Rattus norvegicus: one gene and its partners. The protein of the gene in region 5 interacts with the protein of the main gene of each other region in a pairwise test. Links are inferred from orthologs where the notes say so. Each region holds a gene or a part of one and is shown on either strand. Other genes may lie near its edges.

Region 1 (3,500 bases), on a different chromosome or scaffold from region 5:
AGGGGATGGATTGGGAGGAGAGAGCATAGCCCTCTAGAAGGGAAGCCATGCTGTCCTTGGGACTACCCTCGGTCTGAGGGTAGCGTGGGGATCCTGAATGATGGAGTTCTTTTCCCAGCACTTGAAGGAGGACAGGACTAACCTTCAGGCCACCGTGGAGCTACTGCAGGTACGGGTACAGAGCCTCACACACATGCTCGCCCTGCAAGAAGAGGAGCTGACCAGGAAGGTAGGCCCCTCCCTCATCCTCCAAACCCTGCCCTGCTGTAGGCCTTCCCTCTCTGGGGAAGGTAGGTGGTATACTACTGAGACCCCTAACCGCCTCACCGTGGATGGCAGGACTGGAAGGACAAGGTCACCAGTTCCCGCCTCCTTAGAAGATCCATTCCCTTCTTTCCCACGTGCAGATTCATCCTCTAGACCCCTTGGAGCCCGAGTTTCCTAAGAAGTGCCGCTCGTTGCTGCGCGGCTGGCGGGAGAAGGTGTTTGCCCTTATGGTGCAGCTCAAAGCCCAGGACCTGCAGCACAGGGACTCCACCAAGCAGCTGAGGGACCAGGTCAGGGGCTGTGTCTCTCCCAGTGATGACAGTTAGTCTTTGGGTGGTTGCCACATGCTGGGCACAGAGCCCTGAGCAGAAGAGTCCCCGTTTTCACGGAGCTTGAGTCCTAGAAGGACGCACGGAGAAGCAGAAAAATGGGTCACATCGTCATACACGTGCTACGGAGAAGCGGTGGTGACAAGACTGAGGTGGATGGATAGGATGGTCAGGGACGGCCTCTCTGAGCAGGCCACAGCATCCATCAGGGCGTGGCACAGTCAGGGGAAGGGATCAGGATGGTTTCCCAAAGCGTGGGCAGCCTGACTCAGAAAGAAGATTCAAGACAGAGTTTTCTGTGTACTGTAGCTGTCCTGGAACTCACTTTGTAGACCTGACTGGCCAATAAGTGATCTGCCTGCCTCTCCCCTCCTCATGCTGAAATTAAAGGTACGTCTTACCACACCATACCACACTGGGCGTTCTTTTCTTCCTTCCTTCCTTCTTTTCTTCCTTCTTTCCTTCCTTTCTTTTCTTCTTTCTTTCTTCCTTTCTTCCTTTCTTCCTTCCTTCCTTCCTTTCTTTCTTTCTTTCTTTCTTTCTTTCTTTCTTTCTTTCGTACTTAATTTAGCTGGGTGTGGTGTACTCCTTTAATTCCAGCAGGTAGGAGGAAGAGGCAGAGGGTCTCTGAATTTGAGGCCAGCCTGGTCTACATAGTGAGTTCCAGGACAGCCAGAGCTACATAGTGAAACCCTGTCTTAGAAAGAAAGAAAAGGTGTGTTTATTTTGTTTTATGTGTCTGAATGTTTTGCCTGCATGTATGTCTGTGTACCATGTGCCCATGGAAGTCAGGAGGTGTTTGCTCCCCCAGAACTGGAGTTACAGATGGTTACGAGCCATCCTGTGGGAAAAGGGACTCGAACTCTGTGAGAGCAGCCAGCGTTCTTAACCACTGAGCCATCTCTGCAGCCCCAGTCTGGAGACTCCTGCCCCGTCTCCTTCACCGGCATTCCCCATAGCTTTGGCTCTAGATTTCCCTGCTCAGTTCCCTCTGCTCCTGTAGGTAGCAGAGCTCCAGGAGCAAGTGACTGCCCAAAGCCAGGAGCAGGCCATCTTGCAGCGTGCCCTACAAGACAAGACTGCACAGGTGGAGGTGGAGCGGATGAGCACCAAGGTCTGAGGGTGAAGCTCCTTAAGGGAGGAGGGTGAAGCTCCTTAAGGGAGGAGGGTGAAGCTCCTTAAGGGAGGAGGGTGAAGCTCCTTAGGGAGGAGGGTGAAGCTCCTTAAGGGAGGAGGGTGAAGCTCCTTAAGGGAGGAGGGTGAAGCTCCTTAGGGAAGGAGGGTGAAGAAGACCCTGGCTGGGTCTGTGGGCCAGGGGCCAGGGAGGGAGGTGTACGAGAGAGAGCGCACACAAAGCTGCATCCTTACCAGACCCTGAAGATGGAGCTGAGTCAGGCGCAGGAGGCCAGGTGGAGGCAGGAGCAGCAGGCGGCCTCTGCTGAGGAGCAGCTGAAGTTCGTGGTCAGTGCTATGAACAGGTATCTGTCACAGAGCAGCAGGTGGAGGAGCCCGGAAGAGCCTCAGGCGAGAGAGAGAGAGAGAGAGAGAGAGAGAGAGAGAGAGAGAGAGAGAGAGGCAGGCAGGAGGATGCAGGATGGAGTATGCCGGCTTCCTGCACTTTGGTCTACTGTGCTCTGAAGCTAAGTAGGGCAGCTAGGAGGAGCTGTGACTTCGGAGGTCAGGGAAGGGAACTGCAGCCGTGTGCAAACCTCCCTCCCTCCCTCTCTTCCTCCTTCCTTCTTTTGCAACCCTAATTGTACAGCTGGGCTGGTCTATAGCTCAGTAGCAGAACACTTACCCAGCATTCAGGAATCTCTGGTTTCAATCCCTGGCACCAGAAAGGAAAGCTGAAACTTTTAAACTTGCACAGACAGAGTCAGACTAGTTTAGAAGAACCAGATTCAAAGCTCTGCACGTGCCTGCCTCCAGGAAGATGTTACGGTGTCGTGTCTGGGGTTTTACTTTCTGCCAGATCACATACATGGTTCTCAATAAAAGCTACCAGAAAGCCCTTCCAGGCTTTGAACACCCGTACCCCAGTTGAGATGTTCTGACTGAGCTTAAGCACTTAGATCCTCTAGGTTTGCTAAGGAGCTGGATTGACCTGCAGGGTTCGCCAAGGTCCTGCCTCTCCTGTAGGCTCCCGTTTCTCCTTTGCTGGCTACTTAACAGCCCCCCCCCTCCCCCCACACTCCCCGCTCATGTACCAGGACAGGACAGACGTGTCCTCTGCCCCAGACCCTGCGGGTCTTGAAGGGATGAGGGGAGGAAGGACCGTGAGTGACCTATATCTTCTTCAGCACTCAGGCCAGACTCCAGAGCACCATGACCAGGGTGGACCAGGCTGTAGCCCGGATTCCCAGCCTCTGCAACCGGCTCAGCTATGCTGTCCGTAAGGTCCACACCATTAAAGGTACACAGAATGACCTAGCCCTCCTTCCGGCCTAGCCCTCTTCCTCTTAGCTCTGGATCTAACCCCATGTTTGTCCTCTGTTGCCTTGGTAACTATCACTGTCCTGTGCTCCCCGCCACCCTCTGTCCACGTGTTCTCATCTGTCTGTCCTCTCTTCTCTTCAGGTTTGATGGCTCGAAAGTTGGCTCTTGTTCAGTTGCGCCTGGAGAGGTAAAGTTCGGGCACATTGAGGTGGAGGGGTGTGTGTGGATGTTGGGGACAACCTGTTGGCTGCTAGGACCCAGAGGGACCAAGGAGGGGTGGAGGCACCGGTCACTCAGTTGCTGGGGAGGTTTCTCTGACTCCATCATCGCTGTCCCAGCTGTCCCCCACCTGAACCTGCACCCCCACCGGACACGGACCTGAGCCTTGAGTTGGAGCAGCTACGGGAAGAACGGAACCGCTTGGATGCAGAACTGCAGCTAAGTGCCCACCTGATCCAACAGGAGGTG
Region 2 (3,500 bases), on a different chromosome or scaffold from region 5:
TAATAAGCATAAAAAAGACAGAGTTTAGAAGATGTCTGGATGGTTGGACACATTAAAGTTCCTAGAAAGCAGAGTGTCTCTTCCTCATATCTCACCCACATAAATGTATTCATCTGTTTTCTCTGAAATATCTATATCATTTATAACAAAAACTGCTAAACATTAAGGCAGGCAAACCAAATATGAAAACCAAGCTATGGGAATATTAATTTATAGCCAAGTAATGAGAAGCACATATAAAACAATCTCGAGTTTCTAACTGGCATCTGAAGTGGTACTGGAGGGCAATCTTGAAGTCTCCCGAATGTGGGGGCTGGCACTGCTACCTATAAACGTGTCAGAATTAAAATGAAATTGTAAGACAACCTGCTGTTACCCACTAGAAATGACTGTTTGTTTAGAGGGAGAAACTGTTAAACTCTTCATAGTTGTGGATGTCTTCTCTATGCTGTTAAGAGTTGTTTTCCAACAGAAAGGAAATTTCATATTAAAATGACAGACAGGTATGCTGAAAGTTCAACAGAAAGCACTACAAATTTCAATCAATTTAACTAAATCAACACTTGTCCCTACATCCCAGAAACAACAAAATGTCAAGTTACACATTACAGTTTAAAATGTCCTGGAGTTTCAAAAGCAATCTATTCAGTTATTTTTTTTCTAGTTTCTTTTCACTACATCTTAAAAAGGAAAACTTTTAGCACACAGTAACAATACTATAGCGAAAATGCCTCCCATATCTCCACTTCAGCTATATGCTTTTACTTACCTAAAACTAGGAAAAGATTAGTGCAGCCTAGCTGTCAATATACAAGAATCATACTCTTTACAACATGGGGCTTTATTTAAATCTTGTCCCACATTTTTCAGGAATGACTGCATCATCATACGTTCTACTCACAGGGGCACATGGCACTGCTCAGGATCAGCTCGAGTCAGTTCTTCCTCTTCAATGTCAGACTCCCCTCCAGAGCTACTGTCTGTGACATCCGAATCAAACGCTTGCTCACTGCACCTCAGGTTGGCTATGCCACTAGCTGTAAATCTCTCCAATTCTTCTGAAATTGAATCACTTTTCAAAAAGTTGCTAAGTCCCTCTGAAGTGGCAGTCTCGCTGGCAGCTTTTCTCAAGGCAGCTTCAGCCTTTCGAGTCAACATCAACTGGCTCCTGGACCTTAAGGATTCCAAATTTGGCAGTTTACTCAATGTCTTCTCCAAAAATCCACCCAGTTGGTGCTGTAAATGTCTCTCCACCTGCTTGGCCTGCACAACCTGTAATCGCTTCTGTAACCTGCGGGCACGGATCTCAATATCAGCCTGCCGCCTCAGTAAAGCTGTTATCCTTGTGTCAGAGTCTAAAGCACTGAAGAGAATGGAAGACAGGGGAGACTTTTTGACTTCTAACTTCACACTTGTCAAGTTAGAGCAGGAGTCTGTACTGGGTGATAACCTGCTGCTTCCTTGAAGTGCCGGCTGTTCCATGGAGTTCACAGGAGATTTGTTTACAGTGCTATTATTGCTATAGAGAGTTGTGTGTTGTGTATCAAGGCTTCTATGTGGAAGAGTGCAATTGGTCATACCCCCCTTCAAGTTCCCAGAGTCAGATCCCCCCACCTCACCTCCTTGCAGAGATGATGAAGTGAGAGACCGTTTTCCCCCATTGAGGGAACTGGAATTGTCATGATCCGAATGTGTTGAACTTTTAGTCAATTTCTTAGCCAATCCATTTACAGGCGCTTGTGGCAGAGCTGTCTGACCACTTGTATTCATGGTTCTAAGATTTTCTAAGGAAAACTCCAAAACTGGCTGTCTCCCCAACAGCTCAGCTCGGAGTTCATAGGACTGAGATAAAAGAGGATGAGACTTAAGAACTGTCTGCTTGCTGAAAACGCCTTGCAATTTCAAAGACTCTTTTGAGGGAACAGATGTTACATCAGAGCAGAGATAAGATGCCACCAATGGCTGCAGCTTTCCCAAGTCTTCCTTGGTAGGATTATTGCGGAAGTCTAGACTGGGATCCTCCGCAGCAATGGCTTTTCTTTTGGTTCCGTTGGCAGAAATAAGAATATTGGCGTTGCCGTTATTTTCGGCACTGCCAGGGGACAAGGTGGAGGATGGGGGAGCCAGTTTGAACCGGATGTGGTGTGCTTCAGCTGCTGCGTCAGTGAGAGCGGGCGCCATCGCAGCCATTCAGCACAGAGAGACAGGAAGTCCAGCCTCTCCCAGTGCTGAGGCCAGCTCCACGGCCCCTTACTGCCTCCCCTGAGAACACACTGAAAGAGAAAAAAGGGAAGTCAGAAATACAAGCACATTTAAAAACAACCCACATTTTCAACAGAAGCACCACATGAGGCTATTGTCCAAACTTTGCCTCCAAAATAAGGAGAATAACTGTGAAGCCATTCTGGAACCTGGAGATATCTTTTACCTAGAAGGAGAGGAACACAATCCTTTACAAGAAAAGTAATTTTGCCCTTCATGTCAATTGTTAACTACAGACTGAATAGTGTCAAAACAGAAGTCTTATTTTGAAATAATCCCAAACAGTTATAATCACTTGTATTTAAAAGAAAACCTCTTTGCCTGGTGGTGGTGGTGGTGGTGGTGGTGGTGGTGGTGGTGGTGGTGGTGGTGGTGGTGGTGGTGGTGGTGGTGGTGGTGCACACCTTTAATCCCAGCACTTGAGAGGCAGAGGAAGACTGATCTTTTCTGAGTTTGAGGTCAGCTTGGTCTACAGAGAGAATTTCAGGACAGCCAGGGCTACACAGAGAAAAATCTGTTGGGGAGGGAGGACTGGGGTAACACAACTCTAAATGTTATATTATTAGACTGAATATGGTCCTAAGATGAATACCCAGTCATAGAAGAAAAGAATTTTATTCTCATAAAAAAGTTTATGCGGAGTTATTTGTCTGCCCAGGAATCTAGTTCTCACCAGTTTCTTCCTTACAAATTTCTATTGTATCACTAGGCTAACTACACCACACTGTAACATCAACTTTCATTCAGCACATATCTCTTCTCCTGGGCTCTTTATTTTCAGAGTAAATCTGTATCTTTAAGAGTCCAACATAACTCTCTCACTTCCCCCACACCAAAGCACTTCCAAGTAACATTTACCACTGCCTTTATACTTTTCACCTCTAGACTTTAGAACCTCCCCTATCACTCCAGGAGGGGTAACCAGTGTATAGTCAGCAGCCCTATCCTGACTTTTCCCTAACCGATAGGTAGTGTGGACTTCCCTGAAATTTTCTTTCATGATAGCCTTGCAACTATTCTATTCTCTTCTTCCTTGAGATCCTCCTAAAATAAAATGCTGGTCCTGCCCAAGATCTCTTCCATTTGCCTTCTCTTCAATTCACTTCCTTAGCAAAAACTACCAGCATGAGGACTACTAACTCAGAAAAAAAGGCAGAGAGAGGCATTAATCAGTGTTTTAATCCTCTAGCCCTTGAAACCTCAGAATTGACTTTCTTCTTCAAGATACTTTTTTCCTT
Region 3 (4,099 bases), on a different chromosome or scaffold from region 5:
GATCCACTGGAGCAGCGCCAAGCGACGGTACATCACCAAATGCACATGGTGTTTCTCCTTCTCCTGTTCCTTGTAGCGCTCCTGAGCCTGCAGCTGCTGCACGGCCTGGGCCACAGAGGGCAGAAGGGGATCCAGGGGGCTTGGACCTCGAGGGGTGCTACAGCCAGCTTCTGCACTGCTGCTAAAGCTGCTGATGCTCAAGGAACTGCTGGCATAGCCGATGTCCTCCAGAGGAGAGCAGACGCTGCTGGCATCACTCGACTTCTCTGGCTCAGCACCAGGGATCTCTGCACCCTCCGGGGGACTGCGGACTCCGGCCTCAGGGAGCCCAGTGGCTTGGAAGACCCGGTTATCAGAGGGCGACTCAGAGGAGCTTCTTATCAGAATAGGATCCACACCATGCCAGTTCTTATTAGCATCCTTAGCGCTCTCCACGAAGTTGGAATTACTGTCTGGTTGGAGGTCCGGGTGACATACTCCAGGAGGCAGGCTCCCCAGGTACTGGGCCCCCTCTGCTAGTCCTGGCTGGATAGCAGCAAACATCTGGACTGTGAAGGAGAAGCAGAAGAATGAGTCACAGCAGGAGAGGATGGAATGACAACCTTGAGCCCAGTAACCTCCTCGTGGCTTTCACAGAGCGGGGTTTCCCTTTAAGGCTGCCCATCTCGTCATTCTACAAACTTCTCCCCAGGTCACTTCATCCTGTTACAGCTTCGAGAACCATCATGTGTAAGCAACTCTCAGATCCGTGTCCAGCCCAGATTCAACCCCTACTCAACCTTGTGACCTACCGCCGGTTCTTCAAATTCTACACATCCAGACAGCTCTCCTTGCAGCGTCCTCTGGCAGGACACTCTGCTGAGTCTAGCCACCCAGATGCCTAGGAGGACCTGGACTACTCACCCTCCTCCCATGGCCACCTCACTGTCCACATCTTGTCAAACTCTCCTTTAGCTCTGGTCATTTTGACCCAAGTGATTGTCACAGCCATTCCACTGACCCTCCTCCAACTAAAAATACAAACTTGGGTTGGAGAGAAGGCTCAGCAGTTAAATGGACTGGCTGCTCTTCCAGAGGATCTATGTCCCATTCCTAGCACCCAAGTCAGGTGGTTCACAACTGCCTGTATGGCTAGCTTCATCCCAACCTCGTCTTCTGGCCAATTTGTTCACCCACATGCACGTGTGCATACACAGATATGCTAATGTTTTTTAAAAAGACGTTCAGCTAAATAACAAATTATACTTTCAAAAGGAACATATGTCTACATGTATGTAGATGTATAGATATGGACAGATATATTCCATAAGAGAACCACATTTCCATGACGATTTATAACAGTAGCAAAATTACAGTTACTAAGTAGGAACAGAAGCTGGGCGGTGGTGATGTACGCCTTTAATCCCAGTGCTTGAGCCCAGAGGCAAGTGGATCTCATGAGTTCTACCACCAGGCTGGTCTACAGAGAGAGCGAGTTCCAGGACAGCCAGAGCTACAGAGAGAAACCCTGTCCGGAAAAACAAAAACAAACACAAACAAACAAAAAGGAAGTAGCAACAAGTTACTACTTGGGGGTCACCACAGTATGAGGAGCTGTCTTAAAGGGTCGCAGTGTTAGGAAGGTTGAGAACCTCTGCTCTAGAGCAAACCCAGCCAGCCATAGCAGGTATCAGTAATTACCTGCAGAGAGTGACTAAGGGGCTACCGTGGGGCTCCTGTTCTTAGGAAGACAGTAATAATGCCAGAAGGCGGCTACAGCAGAGACCCAGGGCTTGAAGCGCTGGTCTCTTTCTCCTCCTCCACACTAAGGAACCCCTGTCTCCTGAACCCACAATGACAAGCCTCTCTTGCAAGTCTGTCCCTTCCCCTCTAGTGCTCCTGGTACATGTTCATGGGACTCAGTTTGCTCCATGCTGATTTTCTCCCTCTCTCTCTTCCCTAATAATCGCTTTTGAGTATGAACTGACAAGACGTTCCATTGACCACACGTCTATGACCAGAAGGAAGAACTGAGGCCTCATGAGTGAAACATACCATTAAGTCAATCAAGCAGCCACTAGGAAGGTTCCCCTATAGGTGGCAGGGAGCCTCCCCACACCCAGCAATAGGCAGAAGTCATGGAGACTGAGGTTGGGACAGATGTTTCCACCCCTTTGGCTTGTAAGAAAAGGCCTGAAGACACCCCCAATCCCCCCCCGCCCCATACACACATACATACTCTATTTTAAAAATTTCCTAGGGGCTGGGGATTTAGCTCAGTGGTAGAGCGCTTACCTAGGAAGCGCAAGGCCCTGGGTTCGGTCCCCAGCTCCGAAAAAAAGAATAAAAAAAAAAAATTTCCTAAATTTGGCCAGGCTTACAAAGAAAGTTGGGGTGGGGTGGGGTGACAGTGGGGTTAAGCATCCAGGCTCAAAAAGTCAGTGAAATGAATCCAGACATCCCAAGATCAGGATCCCCCTCTCCTCCCAGCTAATCTATAGTGTAGGGGTAAGGGAGGGGACTGTAGCACGGGGATTGGCAGCCTCACAGGGGACAGAGAGCACAGTGACCCTGATCTCTGCAGAGGCAGCTCCCCAATCCACCCTCAGGCGGCTGGGCCCCAAGCACTCCATCAGGGCCCGGACTCACGGCCTAGAGGCGCCCGCTCCTGCGGGGTTTGCTATGGTTCCTCGGGGCCTGCTCGCTGTAGAGGCTGGGGGTGGGTCCTGGACCTGCGCGTGCACGCGCGGTGGCGCGGCTGCCTGGTCCTGGCACAGCCGTCCCAGCCCCAGCCCGGACTGCGGAGTCCAGCGGCGTCTGCGCGGCTGGGCGGGGCGGCCTGACTCACGTGGGCCGGTTCGGTTCTCCGCGCAGGAACTGCCTCCTCCCGCGGCTTGACCCGAGAGCCTTCTAGGTCCGGTGTCATCTCCTAACCACTCTGGCTAGGCGCCACCGATCCATCGTTTTTCCTGCTGTAGACATAGCGACGAAATAACTCCTTCCTGGGTTTCTCAGTGGCTAGGAAATTGGCGAGGCCGCGGTGCACGTCCCATCCTGCTGCAGCACTCGCTGCGGTCCTTTCCCTGCTCCAGCTCGTCACGTTTTCTGCTGAACTGTTCATCCCCATTTACTTTTAGGATCCTTGCTGACTCCTAGACCTGTTTTGTTTGTTTGTTTTTAAGTCCCTTCACTGTACTATACCTATTTGATGAAACGCACTTAGTGACAGCTATGCGGATGTTATTGTTTTGTTTGTTGTTTTGAGACAGAGTCTCATTATGAAACCCTGGCTGTCCTGGAAAGCACTACGTAGAACAAGTTGGCCTCCAACGCACAGTGAGATCCGCCTGCCTCTGCCTCCCAAGGGCTGGGATTAAAGGCGCGCTCCATCACCTGCAGCCAGTTTTAAAGATTTTATTTTTTATTTATGTATATGTGTTAGTGTCTCTGTGTGTGCGTGTGTAACTAAGAATGGAATCCCACTCCAGGTAAGTCACAGTTCTTCCTTTAGACAGGAGGATTTCAGACTATGGCTGCAGTATCACATTTCCTGACACCTGGAAGAAGCCTGTGTAATAGGGGAAAATGTGCGGCGCTGGAGCGGACACCCAGGAACGGAGACGAAGACACATGGCTGGCTAATGCCCCAGCCTCTGCTTCCTGAGTTTCTAGTTTTGATGCCTTCCCATGAAGTTCATATCTTGCCATATCCAACCCGAGTGGAATTTATCAAACTGGTAATCAAAAGATTCTTGAATTAATACACTAAACGTGATGAGGTAACCCTAGATTCTGATCATTCCCTGTTACTGTGTAGCCATTTACTCTGAACTGAAGCATTAGAGGGAGGGTTGTGAGATCCAGAAGATTCCCGAGGGCCCTCTTCAAGGTAGTGAGTGACCTAAGGGGTTGCTGGGGCAACAGAGACTCTTCAGTGGAGCTGCCTGCAAGTTGTGCTGGAAGCTCCAGGGATGCAGACTTTGTGAGTGGTCACTTAGCTGGATTCCGGTTTTCAGTGACCTAGCTGCCTTTGAGCTTTTGATGGCCCTGTGAGTGAATCCTGACTGATAACCAACCCTGGTCGACTCATCGGTTCACCAAGGAGACTTTGATGGGACTG
Region 4 (4,146 bases), on a different chromosome or scaffold from region 5:
AGGGATATGGTATTGTGAGAAGCTGTGTACATTGCACAAGCTCTACATGGTGGCCAGGTAATACTCGGGACAGCCCTAAGCATAGGTTCTGTTACTTTCCATTCACAAATGAGGCTTAGACACTGTGTCATCTCAGCCAAAGTCAAACAGGCCAAGCATGGTGACTCCCCTAGAATCTCGCTCAGAAGATGGGAGCAGGGGAAATGCCAAGAGTTCAAGGCCGGCTTGGGCTGCATAGCACCAGAAGAGTGAGCTATAGTGAGACCCTGTCTCAAAAAGGCTAAATAAATCAACAGCCCGTGTTTAGTCACTTTGTCATTCTCAGAACAACATACTCTACCCTTCAAGCCCACCCTCTGGGCTTGCGGTCACTTAATGAGGCTGGGCTGCTCTGTTCTAAAAAATCTTTGGTTGTATAGGATAAGTCAGGGGCTTTGGCTACTACAGCAAGGAGTGAGACTTGGCTTTGCCTACTGGTATCGGGTGGGTTGACTTCTGCAGTGAACCAGCCATTTTCCCAAGACCACAAGGTGTGGGGTGCTCCTGAAGCCACGGCTCATGAAGCCATGGCTGAAAGGTAGGGTGAATCTGCACCTCACTGGCCTTCAGCCTGTCTATATGTTCGGGCTAAACAGAATTTCAGTCCGCTAACAAAAGCTAAGGGTGCAGCATGGGACGATGACATGCTCAGCCTGCTCAAGGCCCTGGTTTCTGTCAGTACCTATAGAACAAAGGCCTGAAGACAGCGGGCCCTGGGGCCGAGTCTAGGAAGGCAGCTACAGCTCAGGGAAGCAGAACTAAACCCAAGTAATCTAATAAAGTACTCCCTACCTTAACGGCCAACTAGATGGGCGTGGGCACGTGCCTCTAACCCCAGGAGAAGCTCCACAGGGAGCTCCAGGAGAGCCAGGAATGCGCAGTTAAGACCCTGTCTCAAAACAAAAAGCAAGACCAGTGGTCTTCCTGGAGGACCATGCTGTTCTCAGGGTAGGGTAGATGCTGGTGGGAGCACTGGCTGGAGCTGTGGCCCATCAGTCATGGTGCTTGCTTAGCAAGTGCAAAAGGCCTTGGGTTCCATCCCCAAAACCAAAATGGCAAATCCTTTGTGGACTTGTTTCAGAGAAGAGCCAGAAGTAGGTGAGGGGCACACACACCCCCAACATGTTATATTCCAGCCCTCCCGCCTCAAGAAGGAGGAGTGGAATCTAACTGAGACACGACACAGGCCAGTTTTCCCTGCCCCAACCTGGTAGGACTCCACAGGAAGGGTCTTTAGCTAAGCCCAAGGCAAGAAGGGAAGGGCGGGGGGCCAGTCCTGGGTGAGTATTCATATGACATTTCCCACTCCCTGTCCTCTGTTGAGATGGGAAGAACTCTAGGTAGGTCTGGGTTTTCAACTGTTTGGAAGGCTGAGAGATAGCAGATTACAAGGTCAAAGCCAGCCTGGGCAAGTTAATGAGAACCTGTAATGCCTGCCAGGTATGCACAAGGCTCTAAGTTCAGGCTTCAGTATCCTGGAGAAGAAATCCTGGGTTTTTGGGGTTGGGGATTTAGCTCAGTGGTAGAGCGCTTGCCTAGCAAGCGCAAGGCCCTGGGTTCGGTCCCCAGCTCTGAAAAAAAAGAAAAGAAAAAAAAAAAATCCTGGGTTTTTGTATCATGATGAGCTTGTGCATACTGGGGTGTTTTCCTACTAAGCAAATCATGGAACCCCCCCTTCCTCCCCCCCCTCCCTCCTTCCTTTTTCTTCAAGATAAGCTTTCTCTGTGAAGTCCTGGCTGTCCTGGAATGCTCTCTGTATAGACCAGGCCCGGAACTCAGAGATTTGCCTGCCTCTGCCCCCTAAAGCACTGGTCTTAAAGGCGTGTGTCATCACCAACACACACAGTTTTCCCAGGTCTTACAAATGTTCTTTGGAGCGTTATTCTCCCCCAAACCACACTCCCCCTTCTGGCACCCTGTCTGTATCTCAGATAGCAGCTTTCTTCACCTTATCCCGGGTGCTGATCGGATGGGAGAATGGTGCAGGCGGAAAGCCTACGTGTACAGTGGTGTCCTCTTGCCCTGCCCTAGCAGCAGTCTCTGGCCGAACCCAGGGGTGGCCGCACTCACTGAAGGTCAGGCTGGTGAGAACGAGGGCATCTTCCAGAGAGAGGCCTCTTCTGTACTCTAACGTGGAGGGGGAGGACTGTTGCTGACTGACCCGCGTGAGTCTTCACCTCTTCCCAGATCGAATTCACTGATTTTCTTTAGTTTACCTCCAGGCCTCTAGGTATTTCTTCCTACAGTACTCTCCATCTGCTGTTCCCTTTCGGGATTCAATTTCTAGACCACCATGCTCTTGCTGCCAACCTCCCTCCTGCTTTCACTGCCCCCTCACCTCCAGATCGCCTACATCGCTTCCTAGAAAGCTTCCCAGCCCGGACCTCTGCAGCCACGGCTGCCTTTCCGCCAACCCCTCGAGCTACGGAGGCTCACCAAGCTTGGACCGGGACAACCTCCTCCCAGGAGGCCGGGATGGGGTAGGGTCGGGTGGAGTTGCTCCAGCCCAGACCACCCTCAGCGCCCCAGTATTCCCAGCCTGGACTGGCAGGGAGGTTGCAGGAGGCACACGGGGCCCTCCAGCAGGAGCTCAGCGCTAAGATCTCCTCGCGGGCCCTCCTGACCCTTGGATCCTGCGCCAGTCGTTCGCTCACCGAGTGACTTCATGTAGTCATCAAAATTCTTGCTGTCCACTAGCTTCCAGGTACCGACAAAGGCGTCCGCCATGGTGCAATGAGAGAGGAGGCGTGCAGGCAGTGAGAATCGCGGCTCCCGGCTGGAGAGTCTCTTTAAATAGCCCTCGCATCACATGATGAAAGTGGCCCACACCCCTTGCTCCCGAAATAGGAAGCCCGGGCTTGCACTCCCTCAAGGGGCTAGCGCCCATCCCCCACAGCCCTCCGGGCGCCTACGTCAGCGGCGCCCGCGGTCCCGCCGGTGCCCTCTAACCCATCCCTGCCCGATTGCCCGGCGCTCCCCGCAACCCAAATAGAGCATCCATCCCACCGCCATACTGAAAGGAAACTCGCTCTTGAGCTGGCGTCACGCTGGGGAAACGCCGCCTGATCCTTCTGGCGCCTTGTTTCACTGTGGTTTTATTACAGTGTGCGTGGACGTGTAGGCGCGCTTATTGGGGAGGGGGAAACTGGGGCGTTGCAACTCGCGGGAGTCATTTCTCTCCTTCCACCGTGTGGGTCCCACGTATCAAACTGGGGTCGTCAGGCTTGGCAGCAAATGCCTTTACCTAATGACCCATTTCAACGGCCCTATGTCCTCTTCTTGTAGAAGAGGCGCGGAGGCTCGAATGGGAATGACGCGGTCACCATAAGTAGAAAAGATTTGGAGCCCGGACAGAGAACGTGGTCTAGTGGCCCTTGAGCCTTCTTGCTTCATCCAGACAAGTGGAGAAGAGTTGCCTTGGACACCGCCGAGGCTGAGCTGCCCAGCGCCTCACCTGCTCTGGGAGAACATGACCTTGCTTCCCTCATGCTAGCCCCACACGTGCTTGCCCCTCCCTGCGGAATGTCTCCTGCCTGCGCCTCTCTCCGCAGTCCCACTCCCCACCGCTGCCTGAAAGCGCTCCAGGCTTTTCTGACCTCTGAGCTAGCGCCAGGGTCGTTCTTCACTCCGCGTAGAAAGTTTGTCTATTCAGATAGTTCTTCTGGCCTCGGCCACCTTAACTGCCGGAAAGCCGCGACCCTTTTCTGGAGTCAGTTTTATCTCTGACTTCTGCCACTAGACTGTTTGACACCTTAAAGCACTTTATTAAATAAGACCCACTTCATGGATGGTTGTAGCCGGCTTTCAGGACATGGACCCACTGAACTTTTCCATTGGTAGGTGGTATCTTCTCCTTTTCATAGGTGAGTAAAGGAAGCTCAGTGGAGCCCGTTCCTTAGTTCAGCAGTTTCTGTTTAATTATTACCAAGTCGGCATCTCAATGTGTAGCCGGGCTTGACCTTGAACTAAAGATCTTCCTGCCTCTGTCTCCTGGATTACAGCTGTGTGCCGCTGGCCTGGCGTCAGTCACTAGTTATTAAGGCACCTGGAAGGCAAGAGAATCTTGAGTTTGGGGCCAGCCTGAGCTACATAAGGAGGATCCTCTCT
Region 5 (4,179 bases):
TTATAGACAAAGAATAACACACATGTTGGACACATAGCATGGGCTGGGTACTGGCCAAAGCTCAGGGTGGCAGGCCTCCAAGGATGACCACCAAGCACAACTGAAATTAAGATGGGTTTAGGGGTGGGGGAAGCATCTGGGTGGGACCCCAGGACAGAAAAAGGTTGTGCAGCCTTGGCTGTGACGGAAGCACCACAGGGAAGAGACTATGAGCTGGTACCCACTCTGCACTGTCTTTGAAACCTATCTCATTCCAAAAGTTTACTTTAAAATACTAAATTCAAGGAAAGGAGGACCATAGGCATTGCAACATGGCATACTGTTTCAAAAATAAAAAAGGGCACCTGTGGGGCCCAGGGATGCAGCTCAGGTGGTAGAATGCCTGTCTAGCATGCAATGCATGAAGCCATGGGTCCATTCCACTTCTGTATTAGTGGCAGCCTTTATGCATCAGTATCTAGTCTAAACAGACTCCACACAGAATTAATGCAGCCCATAGCTGGTAAGCTAGGGCTGGAGTCTGAACACATCACATCTCATGGTTACCTGTACTGGCAGCAGATACGAGTGCCCACTCCAGGCTGGAGAGATGTCTCAGCGCTTAAGAACACTGACCCGGGTTGGGGATTTGGCTCAGTGGTAAAGCACTTGCCTAGCAAGCGCAAGGCCCTGGGTTTGGTCCCCAGCTCCGAAAAAAAGAAAAAAGGGGTGGTGGTGGTGGTTGGGGATTTAGCCCAGTGGTAGAGTGCTTGCCTAGCAAGCGTAAGGCCCTGGGTTCGGTCCCCAGCTCTGGGAAAAAAAAAAAAAAAAAAAAAAAACACTGACCCATCCAAAGGTCCTGAGTTCAATTCCCAGCAACCACATGGTGGCTCACAACCATCTGTAATGGGATCTGATACCCTCTTCTGGTGTGTCTGAAGACAGCTACAGTGTACTCATACATAAATCTTTTAAGAGAGCCCACTCCAAGAGTAAAATTGCCAAGGACTTCCTGCTTGTAACTTTCAAAATCAGTTTTCCTCACCTGCTCCAATCTTTTTTCTTTTACAGTACCAGGAATAGAAACCAGGTCCTGGAAAGCAGCACTCTAGCCAATACTCTGCCACCAATCCCCCACCCCCAGCCCAGTATAATTGTTTTTTTAAATCAGGGTCTTTGTAAGTTCCCTAGAAGGCTAAGAACTCACTTTCTAGTCCAGGCAAGCCATGAACTTTTTTTTTTTAAATCACACTCCTAGTCAGCATTCAGACCTGTCACCACACGTGGTGATGGTGAAGGCCAGAGGACAACCGTCTGTCTATAGAGTTGCTTTTGGGTTCTGGGGATGGAACTCAAGAGGGTTGGGTTTAGAGATTACCACCTGAACTATCTCAAAGCAGCTCAGGCCCTGACCTTGACTTCCAATACTCCCGCCTTGGCCTCTTAAGTAGGTAAGATACCAGGCCTGGCCTTTGAGCTTTTTCTTTTTAAAAACACACTGAGGCCAGCCAGTATGACCTTGAATTCATGATTCCTTCTGCTTCCATCTTCCAAATGCTGGGAATATAGACAACTACCAAGCACCGTCCATGTGGTGCTGGGTGCTAAGGTTCTTGTGTGCAACAGGCAAGCACTCTTGAGTTCCATCTCCACCCATTCAGTCTCTCAGCTGCTACAAATATGATAGGCTGACTGGCTTCCACATGGAATGACGGCTATACTCGAACACGGGGCGGAAAACCGCCCCATCATCCTGGGGGACAGACAGGATCAAGAAACAATTTATCTAGTGGGGTCAGCAAGAGAGCAAGGACTGCAAGGAAGTCAGAGCAAGGGGCAAAACCTAAGAGGGTGGCATGATGAGCACAGCATGTAGCAAGTAGGGATGGCTGGAAACAGAAACCTTGGAGGTGGGACACACAGAATGATCATATGGATATGTTGGCTGGCTAAGAATCGGGGGTAGGGAGATAAAAAGGGGTGAAATCAGGCCCCCTCCCAGGGGTGGGGGCTTAATCTAAAAGAAAATAAAACGATTTTAGTAGTAGATGAAATGACTCAGTGGAGAAAGGCTGCCAAACAATCTGACCTGAGTTCCATCCCTGGGACCCTACTATATAGTAGGAGAACCAACTCCTGCTAGCTCTTCTTTGACCACCACATACATACACAATAAACGTTAAAACAAACAAGAAGGTTTAAGAGTCCTGATTAGGACTCCGTGGCCTACTTTCCATAGCTGGTATATTTGTGCGTATATCTATAAACAGCGACATCTCGCTGTTGCTCCCTTGAACTCGTCTATGAAGCCTAAGCTAGCTTGAACTCGCCATTCCGCGATGAGCTTAACCCACGAGGTCTCTCGGAGCGACATCGGTTTTAGGGACTGGTGGCAAATTTGTGAAGCAGGGATAGATAACGGGATGAGCTGGTTACGGGTGTAAGAGAGATCGAATAGGATCCAACCGATACAGGAAACAGAGTCCGGGCCCCCAGCCTGAAGCAGTGAGTGAAGGGTCAGGGCGACATGGCGGGCCCGGGGTCGCCACCGCCCCGTCGGGGCCCCGCGAGGGCGGAGCGCGGAGGGATCCAGGCATCCCGCGCTGCGCCGCCCCCGGTATATTTGTTCCCAGGCCCCGGGGCCGCCTCATTTTCAACCCTCTCAGCAGTCTCCCTTAACGCTCCTGCCACGCCGCCTCCGCCCGTGCAATGGCTCTGTAGCCGCGATCTCGTCGTGTCCCCCGCCCCGTTTCCGCGCTCACCGCGACTTCACTCTCTGCTCACACCGACTCTTCAACTGAGGCCGCCGCCGCCGTTGCCTCCTCTCCTTTTCGCAGCCATGGAGTGAGTAACCGCTCGCCCCTCCCTCTCCAACCGCCTTTCCCGCCCTTTCACAGAGCTCGCGGGGCTTCACGGGTCAGCCTCGTGGGGAGGGGGTGGGGAAGACGATATGAGGAACCACGGTCGCGCAGGCGCAGAAGAGGGAAGTCGGTGGCCGGCGCATCCGCTGAGCAAGCGCACTAGGCTCCAGGCGTGGGGGAGGGTGTGCTTCCGCAGAGTCTGGGGGCTTTTAAGGTCGGTTCGCGCGCCATTGCGCCTGCGCACTAATTCACAGACCCTCTTCCTCCTTTCCCCTCAGAGGATACGAACCCACACTCTATTGCGCATGCGCATTACCTTATTCCCGGCCTGAACTACGGAGGGCGGCCGGTAATTGGCTAAACACACGCACTGGTCCCCCCAGGAGGGTAGTGGCGTAACAATGAATCCGGTCCAGGGTCTGAGCTTTCGTCTTGCGGCTTAGCGAGCAATCAGCGAGGAAGGGTGGAGTTCCTCGAGGCTCTGACACTGGTCCAACTTCCCTCCAATCAGGCACCTGCTGGGGCGGGGACTGGCTTAGATTGACAGGGAAGGCTAAAGAACACCTTTAAGAAAGACTTGGAGCTAGAACCAAGGGGCGGGGCCTCTAGGGACTTGCTAGTTGGGGGCGGGAACTGACTTGACAGACAGGAGTGTGGGCGGGGCTTCCCGTAGAATCTGTAGAAGTCACCTAAAACTTTTAAGGGAAGAGTGGGATTTGTGTGTGTAACACTGATGAAGGGCCCAAGGCATGGCAGAATTATTCTGGGAACCCCTGTGAACTCTAAAGGGCGTATAGTCTAAAGAAAATATTGATGCGGAAGGGGCACGGCTAGAAGAAAATAAAATTACCTTGGGATTGAATTTTTTTACGAAGAGCAATAAGATGAGGTAGGTAGGAGGGGCTGGAAGTAATTCCCCTGGGAGAACACTAGGTTTCTGTGTTGAGGGAGGAGATGGGGCTGGGGAGTTTCCAAAAGTTGCCTTGGGAATGTATGGAGCTCTGGAATTTGCAGAAAGAAGAAAAGTGTGGGTAGCTTGTGGGTCAAGCAGCTTTGACTCAACCCCACCCACGCCACCTTGTCTTCCTCACAGGCCCTCCACCTTCGCCTTGGTGCCTGTCTTCACCCAGCTGAACAATCTTCCACGCTGCCTCCCAGTTGTTGGTGCAGCCTCCATTGCCATCGCAGCCCTGCACCTGTGCCTCAGCCATGTCACTCCTGGCGACCCTGGGACTGGAGCTGGACAGGGCCCTGCTCCCAGCTAGCGGGCTGGGCTGGCTCGTAGACTATGGGAAACTCCCCCTGGCCCCTGCCCCCCTGGGCCCCTATGAGGTCCTTG
Region 6 (3,945 bases), on a different chromosome or scaffold from region 5:
TCAACCATTTAGATGCTAATACTTAAAAATATTTGCAAGATTTCTATAATAAGTTTGCTTTTTTTAAATAAGGCTAACCTAGGAGTTCCTGGCAGTTGCAGGCTGCTGGGAGCCAGGACGAGGTTCTATGACCACGGACAGGTTGTCCACACCCCCATAGTTGGCCCCACACCCACAGTCATACAGGCAACACTAATTAGATTCAGGTTTTTTTTTAAAGAAAAATGAAAAAGGCATGAAGTTGTGTGGGATCTGGGTGCAGTTGGAGAGGCGAGTCTGGGAGGATATTACATTGCATATTCACGGATGAAATTACCCAAAAACACTATTTAAAATATCTTTAAAAAAAAAACACTCCGAAATCAACTGATCCACCGCCTACCGATACTCATTTACATATTCACCTACTGACTATACTCAGTTCTCAAATTCTTGGTGAGTGGGTTTGTGCACCTCAAGACAGGGTCTTGTTACACAGCACTGGGCTAGACTTCACTCCTTACTTCAGCCAGGCTGGCCTCAAACTTGTCCTGATCCCCCTGCCTCTGCTTCCCAGCGGCTGGAATCACAGGTGCTCACCAGCCTACCCAGCTCCACTCAAGATATTTCAATAGACTGTAAACGTAAGTTCTAAACAAGGATAAACTTAAAAGTAAAAATAAAAAAAAATTTTTTAAAGAGCCTGAAACAAAGCGTTTTCTTTTCAAATTCATCATCATTGGAACAAGCCATTGTCTTTTCTCACCAGTGTGACTTACTTTATGCTCCCACAGCTGCCTTGTTCAGCGCCTAAATTATTCATATAGATTGTAAATATTCTTTATTTGTATACGGGGAGAGAGGGAAAAACCCGCCAGGGCAGGTGCAAGACCTGAAAGAACACCCCTTCCTCGTCCTTTTTGTTACCTCTGTTTATTAAAAAGAAACCACCACCACCACCACCACCCCCAGAAAGCCTTTAAGAAGTGCCTCTAGTGGTAATTTCTAGAATGGAATAAAACCATATTTCCGTACAAAAGAGGGGGAGGGGAGGTAGGAAGGTGGACTGTGTCATTTCTGAGGTGACACTGCAGCAGGGGAGGAGTCTCTTGAACTCTATAAAAGGTTAGCGCCACAGCACCGTGAGACAGGCTGTGTGCTCCAACTCCAGGCTACAGGTGTTGCCTCCCGGGATCAAGATGGACTTCAGTCGTCGAAGTTTCCACAGAAGTCTGAGTTCCTCCTCACAAGGCCCAGCACTCAGCACGAGTGGCTCCCTGTATAGAAAGGGGACCATGCAGCGTCTGGGGGTTGCACCCAGCGTCTACGGTGGGGCTGGAGGCCACGGCACCCGCATCTCTGTCTCCAAAACCACAATGAGCTACGGGAACCATCTCTCCAACGGAGGGGACCTGTTTGGGGGCAATGAGAAATTGGCAATGCAGAACCTCAATGACAGATTGGCAAGCTACCTAGAAAAAGTGCGCTCCCTGGAGCAATCCAATTCCAAACTTGAAGCCCAGATCAAGCAGTGGTACGAAACCAATGCACCGAGCACCATCCGGGACTACAGTTCCTACTACGCACAGATCAAAGAGCTGCAAGATCAGGTGAGCCATGAAGTCCGTGATTTCTACCTCACTGTTCAGTTGCCTAATAGATTAAGAGAGATGTACGCTAGGTGAATTCAAACACATGAAGCAGATTAGGTCGGAATTTATAACTGAAAAAATGCATCTTATCTCGTGGTATCTGTCAACAGGATGGGTTTAACCCATGCTTTTTCTAAAACTTCAACCTAATTGCATATAAAATATGACCATTTTATCATCCAAGATCGCAGCCTATATCTTTGTCTATGATTTACAATATAAGGTCTTCGTTGTGAATGATCTTATTTTTTTCAGAGACCTGCCAGGGTTTCTGTGAGTTTGCTACTTGTCTTCACTAACTCGGAAGACTCAAGTCAACTTGAAGAGATTTTTCATCTTTCGTTATATGAATGTTATAATAAAAGTATTAACCTACTATGGGAATAAATAACAAAAGGCTCCAGGGTGGACACAATACAGATATTAATGATATCTATACTGATTGATAAATGGTTGGATGATAGATGATTGGATGGATGGATAGATGGAAGGAAGGGGGAGGAAGAAAGGAAGGAAGGAAGGAAGGATTGGTCTTTGATACAAGATCTGTGTATCCCAGTTTAGTCTGGACCTCACCATCCTCCTGCCTCCACTGCCTCAGCACTGGGATTAAAGAAGTGTGCTATCATGCAACAATTCTGATACCTGGATTTTTTAATGCCTTGTTTAATTATCTCCTCACTATCAATAAGCATTTTATAATGCATCTGTGCGATAATGAAATGTTCTATTGCCCCCAATTCAACTTTATTACAGTCATATCACCATCTGCTCCTGTATCATCCACGGTAGGTGGGGTTCTCCTTTTTATAAAGGCAATGGCATAAGAGTTGGAGACTTTGCTCCTGACTAAGGAGGTCAGCATTAGCACGTACCATTGGCTTAGCTCCGGGGTTCTTATCTAATCAAGAAAGGCCTCCCCTTTGGTTTTGTTTATATCTTAAAGTTATTACCCCTTTAGAGCAAAGACCTTTGACTGAGCCAGGGGCCTCTTCCTGGGTTATATGACAGACATCAGTGCAGCTTAACTTCAGACTTTACAGACCACCAAGCTATGGTGCTCACATTACTTCATCACCAGGACCGTACTTCGGGCTTTTTGATACAACACAAAATTCAAATTAAGCACTTCTCACAAGGTCGATGCTTCTGAATTGACATGGGGATTTTCTGTGATACTGAGGCACAGCCCTCAGTGTCCAGTAGTTTGAGGCCTATCGAGTGGCCTCTCGCCAGGAATAGCCACTGAGAGGGATATGCCACTCTACTATCTTCTAGAAGTAGACTTCTAATTCTCATCCATCTTAAAGAACACGGTGTTTGCCTTGAAACACGAGAACCTGAGTTCAGTCCCCAGATTAAAAAACAAAACTGGAGAATGTGTGCTTGTACTCCCTGCGATGGGGGAGTGGAGACAAGCAGACCCCTGGGACTTGCTGGTCATCCAGCCTGGCCTAATTGGTGAGCTCCAAGACACTGAGAGACCCGGCCTCACCCCCCAAAATGGTAGCACTTAAGGAATAGCATGCAAGGCTGTCCCTTGACCTCCGCATACGCACACACAGAGAAAGATGCACATGGATCCAGGGTGCACCCATCCTTCTGTCCTGTGCCTAACTCGCACAGACAGCAAGTTCCCATTCAGCCACTACTGCATAGACACCGGCTGGGTCCTGAGCAACACACATGGCGAACAATGACAGCACATGAAGTGTCTGACGTGAAACAGGCCCGGACCAAAGAAACCATCACTGAAAGGGTAGATGCAGGGATGCTGTGGGGGCAACAGCAGCAGGGGTGCATTCGCTGCCAGAACTGGAAGATGTCATGGGGTGGGGGACTTCGAAACAGTGTTGTCTGAGCTGAGGGGAAGGAGCTCGAGCTCACCAGGTAAGAAGGGTTAACAGCAAGGCTCCAGTGTGAGCAGTGTCACAAACAAGGCGCTCAAAAAGGTCCAGCGATGTGGGTGACTTCAGCTTTCATTTCGTATGATCAGAAAAAAACTAGGCCAAGCCACTACACTAATTCCTCTGTCACTGTTCCTCTTGTTCTCCCACGGTCATTCTTGAAACGAACATCACTTATGATGGAATCACAGTTGTCTCTGAGGACCAATGAAATTACCTTACACTCCTTCCCAAAGGGAAAATGTCATTCTTTTTTCCTCTCACATTTCCCAGATTAAGGATGCTCAAATAGAAAACGCCCGATGCGTCTTGCAAATTGACAATGCTAAGCTGGCCGCAGAGGACTTCAGATTGAAGTAGGTTCTCTAAATGGTGTGTGTGTGTGTGTGTGTGTGTGTGTGTGTGTG
Region 7 (4,297 bases), on a different chromosome or scaffold from region 5:
CCGCCCACCCCGGCCCACCTGCTCCTCCAGCCGCTCGATCTCCAACTGGTTCTTCTCCTCCTCCTCGTCGTACTCCCACTCGTCCTCCCCGGCGGAGCTCTCGGCGGAGGAAGCCATGGCGGCGTCCTCCTCATCCCCATCGCTCTCGCTCACACCTTCCTGGTGCACCTCCCGCTCAGGGCCCTTGGCTTTGGCTGTCTCCGCGCTGGACAGCACCTTCCTGCCCACACCCGCCGGCTTCGCCTCATCCTCCTCTCCCTCAGCCTCAGGCCGGGCCTGGGGCTCAACCTCCGGCTCGGACGCCGAGGATGCAGTCGCCGTCGCCATCTTGCGCAGCCCGCGATTCTCGGGTCCTCCCTCGCCCGCCGAAGCCCGGCGAACATTAGGCTGTCCGTGGCGTCTGCCTGACCAAAACTCCGCTCGGCGCCAGCGGAAGTGGCACGAAGGGCCTCAGGGCGGAGGAAGCCGTGAAGACTCCACCACTGATATTATCCTTAGGCGTCTCTGGACGCCACTGTCAGGAAGAAAGGCTCACTAGCATAACCTGCGTCGGGCTACGACCTTGGACAGCTTTTGGGTCTTGGGACCGGAAGTGGCAGCCATACCGGCAGTTGTGTGTGCGTGATGGCCATAGTTAAGGTCCAGACGCCATCTTAGGAAGGTCAAAGTCATTTTTTTTTTTTTTTTTTTTTTTTTTTTTTTTTGGACTAAAGGATTTCTGCAAGGCTCAGCCCGCTCCAGTGCGTTGTTGTTTCGCAGCAACCGGCCCTCAGGTGCGGACAAAATTCCAGTTCCTCCGCGATACAATGCACCATTCACGAGAAAAGCCTATCTCTCAGTATAAAGCTCCCTCCCCTTTCTAGCACCTAGTATCTAACAGGTGTTAGACGCATCGATTTTGTGACTATATAGCCAATGCTAACACATTACAGTAAGTATCGTCTCGGGATGCAGTGGATTGTAAAACAAACATGTACATGTCGAGGAGGTATGGTGTTTGTTTCTTTTATACTCCTCGTTGTTGAGGTAGAAAAAAAAAAAAAGAACACTGCTGTTTTCCTCTGCACTGCCTTTCTCCTTCATCAGCAAGGTTAACGAGACAGGAATTGCTTTCCTCGGGACTCCCAGGAATTTTTTTTTTTTAGTGACACCTAGTGTACACTTGACATGTTATTTGCTCCGTAGATGAAACGGCTGCCTTTGAATTAGAAAAAAAAAAGCCTGAACCTGAACAGAGACTCATGCAAGCTCGAATCCCAAATAAGCCTGAGTCTGAGCATCCTCGGGCAAGTCAGGCCCGGCTTCCCACTTCTGGGCGGCCCCACGCCCATCGCAGCACCAGACAAACGTGACCGCAGCTTCAGACCTTCCCGCTCTGCGCCGCGTCCACGCCCCTTCCGGAGGCGTGACCAAAGAGACCGGCCGAAACGCGTGCACGCGCTTGGAGCGGAGAGCGCAAGCGCCAAGCAGCGGTGACGTCATACAAGCGCGCCCTCCCTTCGGCGTCGCAGAGGTCGACGCAGGTGCAAGCCGGCAAGATGGCGGCGGCTGGAGCGGGCCGTCTGAGGCGGGCGGCGTCCGCGCTGCTGCTCCGGAGCCCGCGCCTGCCCGCCCGGGAGTTGTCGGCTCCTGCCAGGCTCTACCACAAGAAGGTATGGGCGGGCGAGGGGGTACGCGAACCATCGAGGGGACCTGCAGCTGTTGCACAGATAACCACCGAGGACCCCGCGGCCACCTCAGCCCCGCCGCGGCCGCTACTCCAAGTGTCCCAACTCTGACAGCCCAGAAGGGAGGGTCCTGGTATGTCGTGCCGGGGGTCAAGGGGCAGCACACATACATGCATGAGCACACGTTGCAGCACCGGCATGCTCACCAGCTAGGCCATTGCCCTGGCTAATTGGCCTTGAGCAAGTCACTGACCCTTGCCCAACCTTTCTCTTAGATCTCACATGGGTCTTCTGCAGTCCCTGTGTGTAGAGCGCTCGGTCCAACAAATGGAAACCACTTATGACGTTTACTATAGGAGCTGATGGCCTCGAGCTCAGCCAAGCACCTAGGCAACATAAAACTTCGATTCTCGGTTATTTATTTGTGGTGAGCAGAAAGTATGGAAGGGTAGTTTACGGCCCCCGCCTTCTAGGGACGTTAAAGTCCCCTTGACATGAGACTCACTCGAAAAAAACAAAACTACCACAAGCTGTACAAAACACCAAAAGTCCTGATTAGATGATGCGTGATGGAGCCCCAGGGCTTAGATTCAAGGTGCAGATGAGGGTGCCTCCTGGTGACTGGGGCTGGGGGGGGGGGTGGAGGGCACTCGGTTTTTATCTTGGTGTGTCCCTGACTTTAATGGCTGTTTGTTCTGCTCTGGCTTGGGTGCCATTGCCCAAGGCCTTCACCCCAAAGGGAAGGTTGTTTTGTTGACATTAGCTACAGGACCTTGTGCGAGCTGGCAGCGTTAAGGCACCAGAGGGCGCTCCTGCATCGGGGTGGCGGCGTGTTTGTTTACAGCCACCAATGACTCATTCATTCCCCAACCTCCGGCTCATTTCTAACAGTCACCTTGAAACTTCTTGGGAAATCTTACATTTGGAGCCATTTTTATTCTTGGGATTTTTAAGTGTATAATTCTCTTTGTGTATTGTGTTTGGTAAAAACAGAAATGGTGCTTGAGCACAGACCTGGTAGAATGTCTGAGTCAACTGATGGCTTTTGGTTGACAGCCCCTTGAAATGAAGGTGTGGCTGAGTTTTCACCGATACCATGGACGTATCTCCAGTACAAAGGTCGTTGGGGAGGAGATAGAGTTTAGGTCTCACTTTGAGCTCCTATCTCTGTCCCATACAAATTGCTGATCCGAGGGAGAGAGGAAAGCCTCAGTGATATCTGTTGATCTGCCATTTCAGGTTGTGGATCATTATGAAAACCCTAGGAACGTGGGGTCCCTTGACAAGACATCTAAAAATGTTGGAACCGGACTGGTGGGGGCTCCGGCATGTGGTGACGTCATGAAACTGCAGGTACTGGCTGGATGAAAAGGATCACCCCCTGCACCCCAACAAGAAGTTTGCTCACAGAGCATTTCATCTTGTCTGCCATTCCTGTGAGGAGGGATGGGCGGCTGACAAGGATGGGTCTCTGTTCCGAAACAGGTGGCCTCATTCTCCACAACACCACCACACCAAGGCATCGGTAGATCTTGCTTTCACCGAGTGAAAGACTTTGTGACTGTTCTGACCAAATGAAGGCCCCCAGTGAGAAAAGGAATGTGTTAACCAAACCTCTCCAGGAAAAGGAAGCGGGGTGGAAGGTGGTGGGCTGGGCCTAGGTCAGCTGGAGTTTTAGCTCAGCCTCAGCCTCCTTAATGGCAGGCAGAAAAGAGCTGTTAATTACAGTTGGTGCCCAAGAGAAAGGGATTGATGGAGACCTTGGTTACAGACTCTGTCAGTGCCTGAGGTGCTGATGGGGGGACATCTATAAACAGACCCCTGCAAAATAGGCACTCACATACAGCAGGCAAGGGCCGAAAACAACCAAGCGGGGTGAGGGGCACTGTTCCTTGCCCCTCTCCCAGCTGAGCCTGTGTGGACCCCAAGTTTCACTTTCTGTCGCCAAGTCCTTTGAAGCAAAACACAGTGATGAATGTCATGGCATGTGGAGTCATAGCAAACCAGGGCTCGTGTGGAACACTCACCTCTGGAAGTTCCCGGCTCCCGGATTCCAGGTGTCAAGCTGTGGCCTCTCAGCTCCCGTCTCTTTTCTAGATCCAGGTGGATGAAAAGGGGAAGATTGTGGATGCCAGATTTAAAACATTTGGCTGCGGCTCCGCCATTGCCTCCAGCTCCTTAGCCACGGAGTGGGTAAAGGGGAAAACGGTAAGGCTGCTCAGAGAGGGAGGGAGGGAGGGAGAGAGAGAGAAAGGGGGGGGGGAGCCCATTTTTCTAAGGTTTAATTTCTCTTCCTACCCGAGCACTGATTACATTCCTTACTCTGGAAGTTTAAGACCATCTTGTTGCTTGAGGCAGTGTGTTAGTCACTGTTGTCACTGGTTGCCAGTTCAGTAGATGAGAATCGCCACCAGGCCTCCCAGCAGTAGAACTGAAAGATGGTTTTGGGCTTTCCCTGATGTCCCTAAGGTCACCAAGGTCCCCTAAGAGCTCCTGAGCAGCATTTACTGTTTGTTTCATCCCATCTCCTCCTTCAAGGAGGAGTCCAGAAAGACATGCACAGATTGCAAAAACAACTTTGTCGGAGGGAGGAGTTGGAATTCAAAATCTGGGGCTGGAGAGATGGCTCA

The links.
Region 1: the proteins of Nup62 (region 5) and Cchcr1 interact in binary tests that used the Homo sapiens proteins (3 or more experiments, as listed by UniProt). The link is inferred for Rattus norvegicus from reciprocal best matches to the Homo sapiens genes NUP62 and CCHCR1.
Region 2: the proteins of Nup62 (region 5) and Kansl1 interact in binary tests that used the Homo sapiens proteins (3 or more experiments, as listed by UniProt). The two-hybrid records come from large-scale screens. The link is inferred for Rattus norvegicus from reciprocal best matches to the Homo sapiens genes NUP62 and KANSL1.
Region 3: the proteins of Nup62 (region 5) and C5h1orf216 interact in binary tests that used the Homo sapiens proteins (3 or more experiments, as listed by UniProt). The two-hybrid records come from large-scale screens. The link is inferred for Rattus norvegicus from reciprocal best matches to the Homo sapiens genes NUP62 and C1orf216.
Region 4: the proteins of Nup62 (region 5) and Fabp3 interact in binary tests that used the Homo sapiens proteins (3 or more experiments, as listed by UniProt). The two-hybrid records come from large-scale screens. The link is inferred for Rattus norvegicus from reciprocal best matches to the Homo sapiens genes NUP62 and FABP3.
Region 6: the proteins of Nup62 (region 5) and Krt20 interact in binary tests that used the Homo sapiens proteins (3 or more experiments, as listed by UniProt). The two-hybrid records come from large-scale screens. The link is inferred for Rattus norvegicus from reciprocal best matches to the Homo sapiens genes NUP62 and KRT20.
Region 7: the proteins of Nup62 (region 5) and Iscu interact in binary tests that used the Homo sapiens proteins (3 or more experiments, as listed by UniProt). The two-hybrid records come from large-scale screens. The link is inferred for Rattus norvegicus from reciprocal best matches to the Homo sapiens genes NUP62 and ISCU.

The regions. Positions count from the first base shown.
Region 1 is NC_086038.1:3,212,766-3,216,265, reverse strand, and holds part of Cchcr1 (coiled-coil alpha-helical rod protein 1), read left to right. Parts: intron 1-118; coding exon 119-229; intron 230-407; coding exon 408-557; intron 558-1,599; coding exon 1,600-1,710; intron 1,711-1,967; coding exon 1,968-2,074; intron 2,075-2,896; coding exon 2,897-3,009; intron 3,010-3,173; coding exon 3,174-3,219; intron 3,220-3,370; coding exon 3,371-3,500. UniProt on the Homo sapiens protein: May be a regulator of keratinocyte proliferation or differentiation.
Region 2 is NC_086028.1:89,823,621-89,827,120, forward strand, and holds part of Kansl1 (KAT8 regulatory NSL complex subunit 1), read right to left. Parts: intron 2,274-3,500; 5' UTR 2,191-2,273; coding exon 902-2,190; intron 1-901. UniProt on the Homo sapiens protein: Non-catalytic component of the NSL histone acetyltransferase complex, a multiprotein complex that mediates histone H4 acetylation at 'Lys-5'- and 'Lys-8' (H4K5ac and H4K8ac) at transcription start sites and promotes transcription initiation.
Region 3 is NC_086023.1:144,183,782-144,187,880, reverse strand, and holds the start of C5h1orf216 (UPF0500 protein C1orf216 homolog), read right to left. Parts: upstream 2,801-4,099; 5' UTR 2,629-2,800; intron 2,164-2,628; exon of another isoform or gene 1,439-2,163; coding exon of another isoform or gene 1,354-1,438; intron 549-1,353; coding exon of another isoform or gene 544-548; coding exon 1-543.
Region 4 is NC_086023.1:147,934,779-147,938,924, reverse strand, and holds the start of Fabp3 (fatty acid-binding protein, heart), read right to left. Parts: upstream 2,801-4,146; 5' UTR 2,767-2,800; coding exon 2,694-2,766; intron 1-2,693. UniProt on the Homo sapiens protein: FABPs are thought to play a role in the intracellular transport of long-chain fatty acids and their acyl-CoA esters.
Region 5 is NC_086019.1:104,434,649-104,438,827, reverse strand, and holds the start of Nup62 (nuclear pore glycoprotein p62), read right to left. Parts: upstream 2,801-4,179; 5' UTR 2,742-2,800; exon of another isoform or gene 1,217-2,741; intron 1,080-1,216; exon of another isoform or gene 1-1,079. Other genes in the region: Atf5 (cyclic AMP-dependent transcription factor ATF-5), read left to right, coding at 4,050-4,179. UniProt on the Homo sapiens protein: Essential component of the nuclear pore complex. The N-terminal is probably involved in nucleocytoplasmic transport.
Region 6 is NC_086028.1:84,887,486-84,891,430, reverse strand, and holds the start of Krt20 (keratin, type I cytoskeletal 20), read left to right. Parts: upstream 1-1,145; 5' UTR 1,146-1,178; coding exon 1,179-1,589; intron 1,590-3,811; coding exon 3,812-3,894; intron 3,895-3,945. UniProt on the Homo sapiens protein: Plays a significant role in maintaining keratin filament organization in intestinal epithelia. When phosphorylated, plays a role in the secretion of mucin in the small intestine.
Region 7 is NC_086030.1:48,515,897-48,520,193, reverse strand, and holds the start of Iscu (iron-sulfur cluster assembly enzyme ISCU), read left to right. Parts: upstream 1-1,497; 5' UTR 1,498-1,538; coding exon 1,539-1,652; intron 1,653-2,906; coding exon 2,907-3,020; intron 3,021-3,764; coding exon 3,765-3,875; intron 3,876-4,297. Other genes in the region: Sart3 (squamous cell carcinoma antigen recognized by T-cells 3), read right to left, coding at 19-327.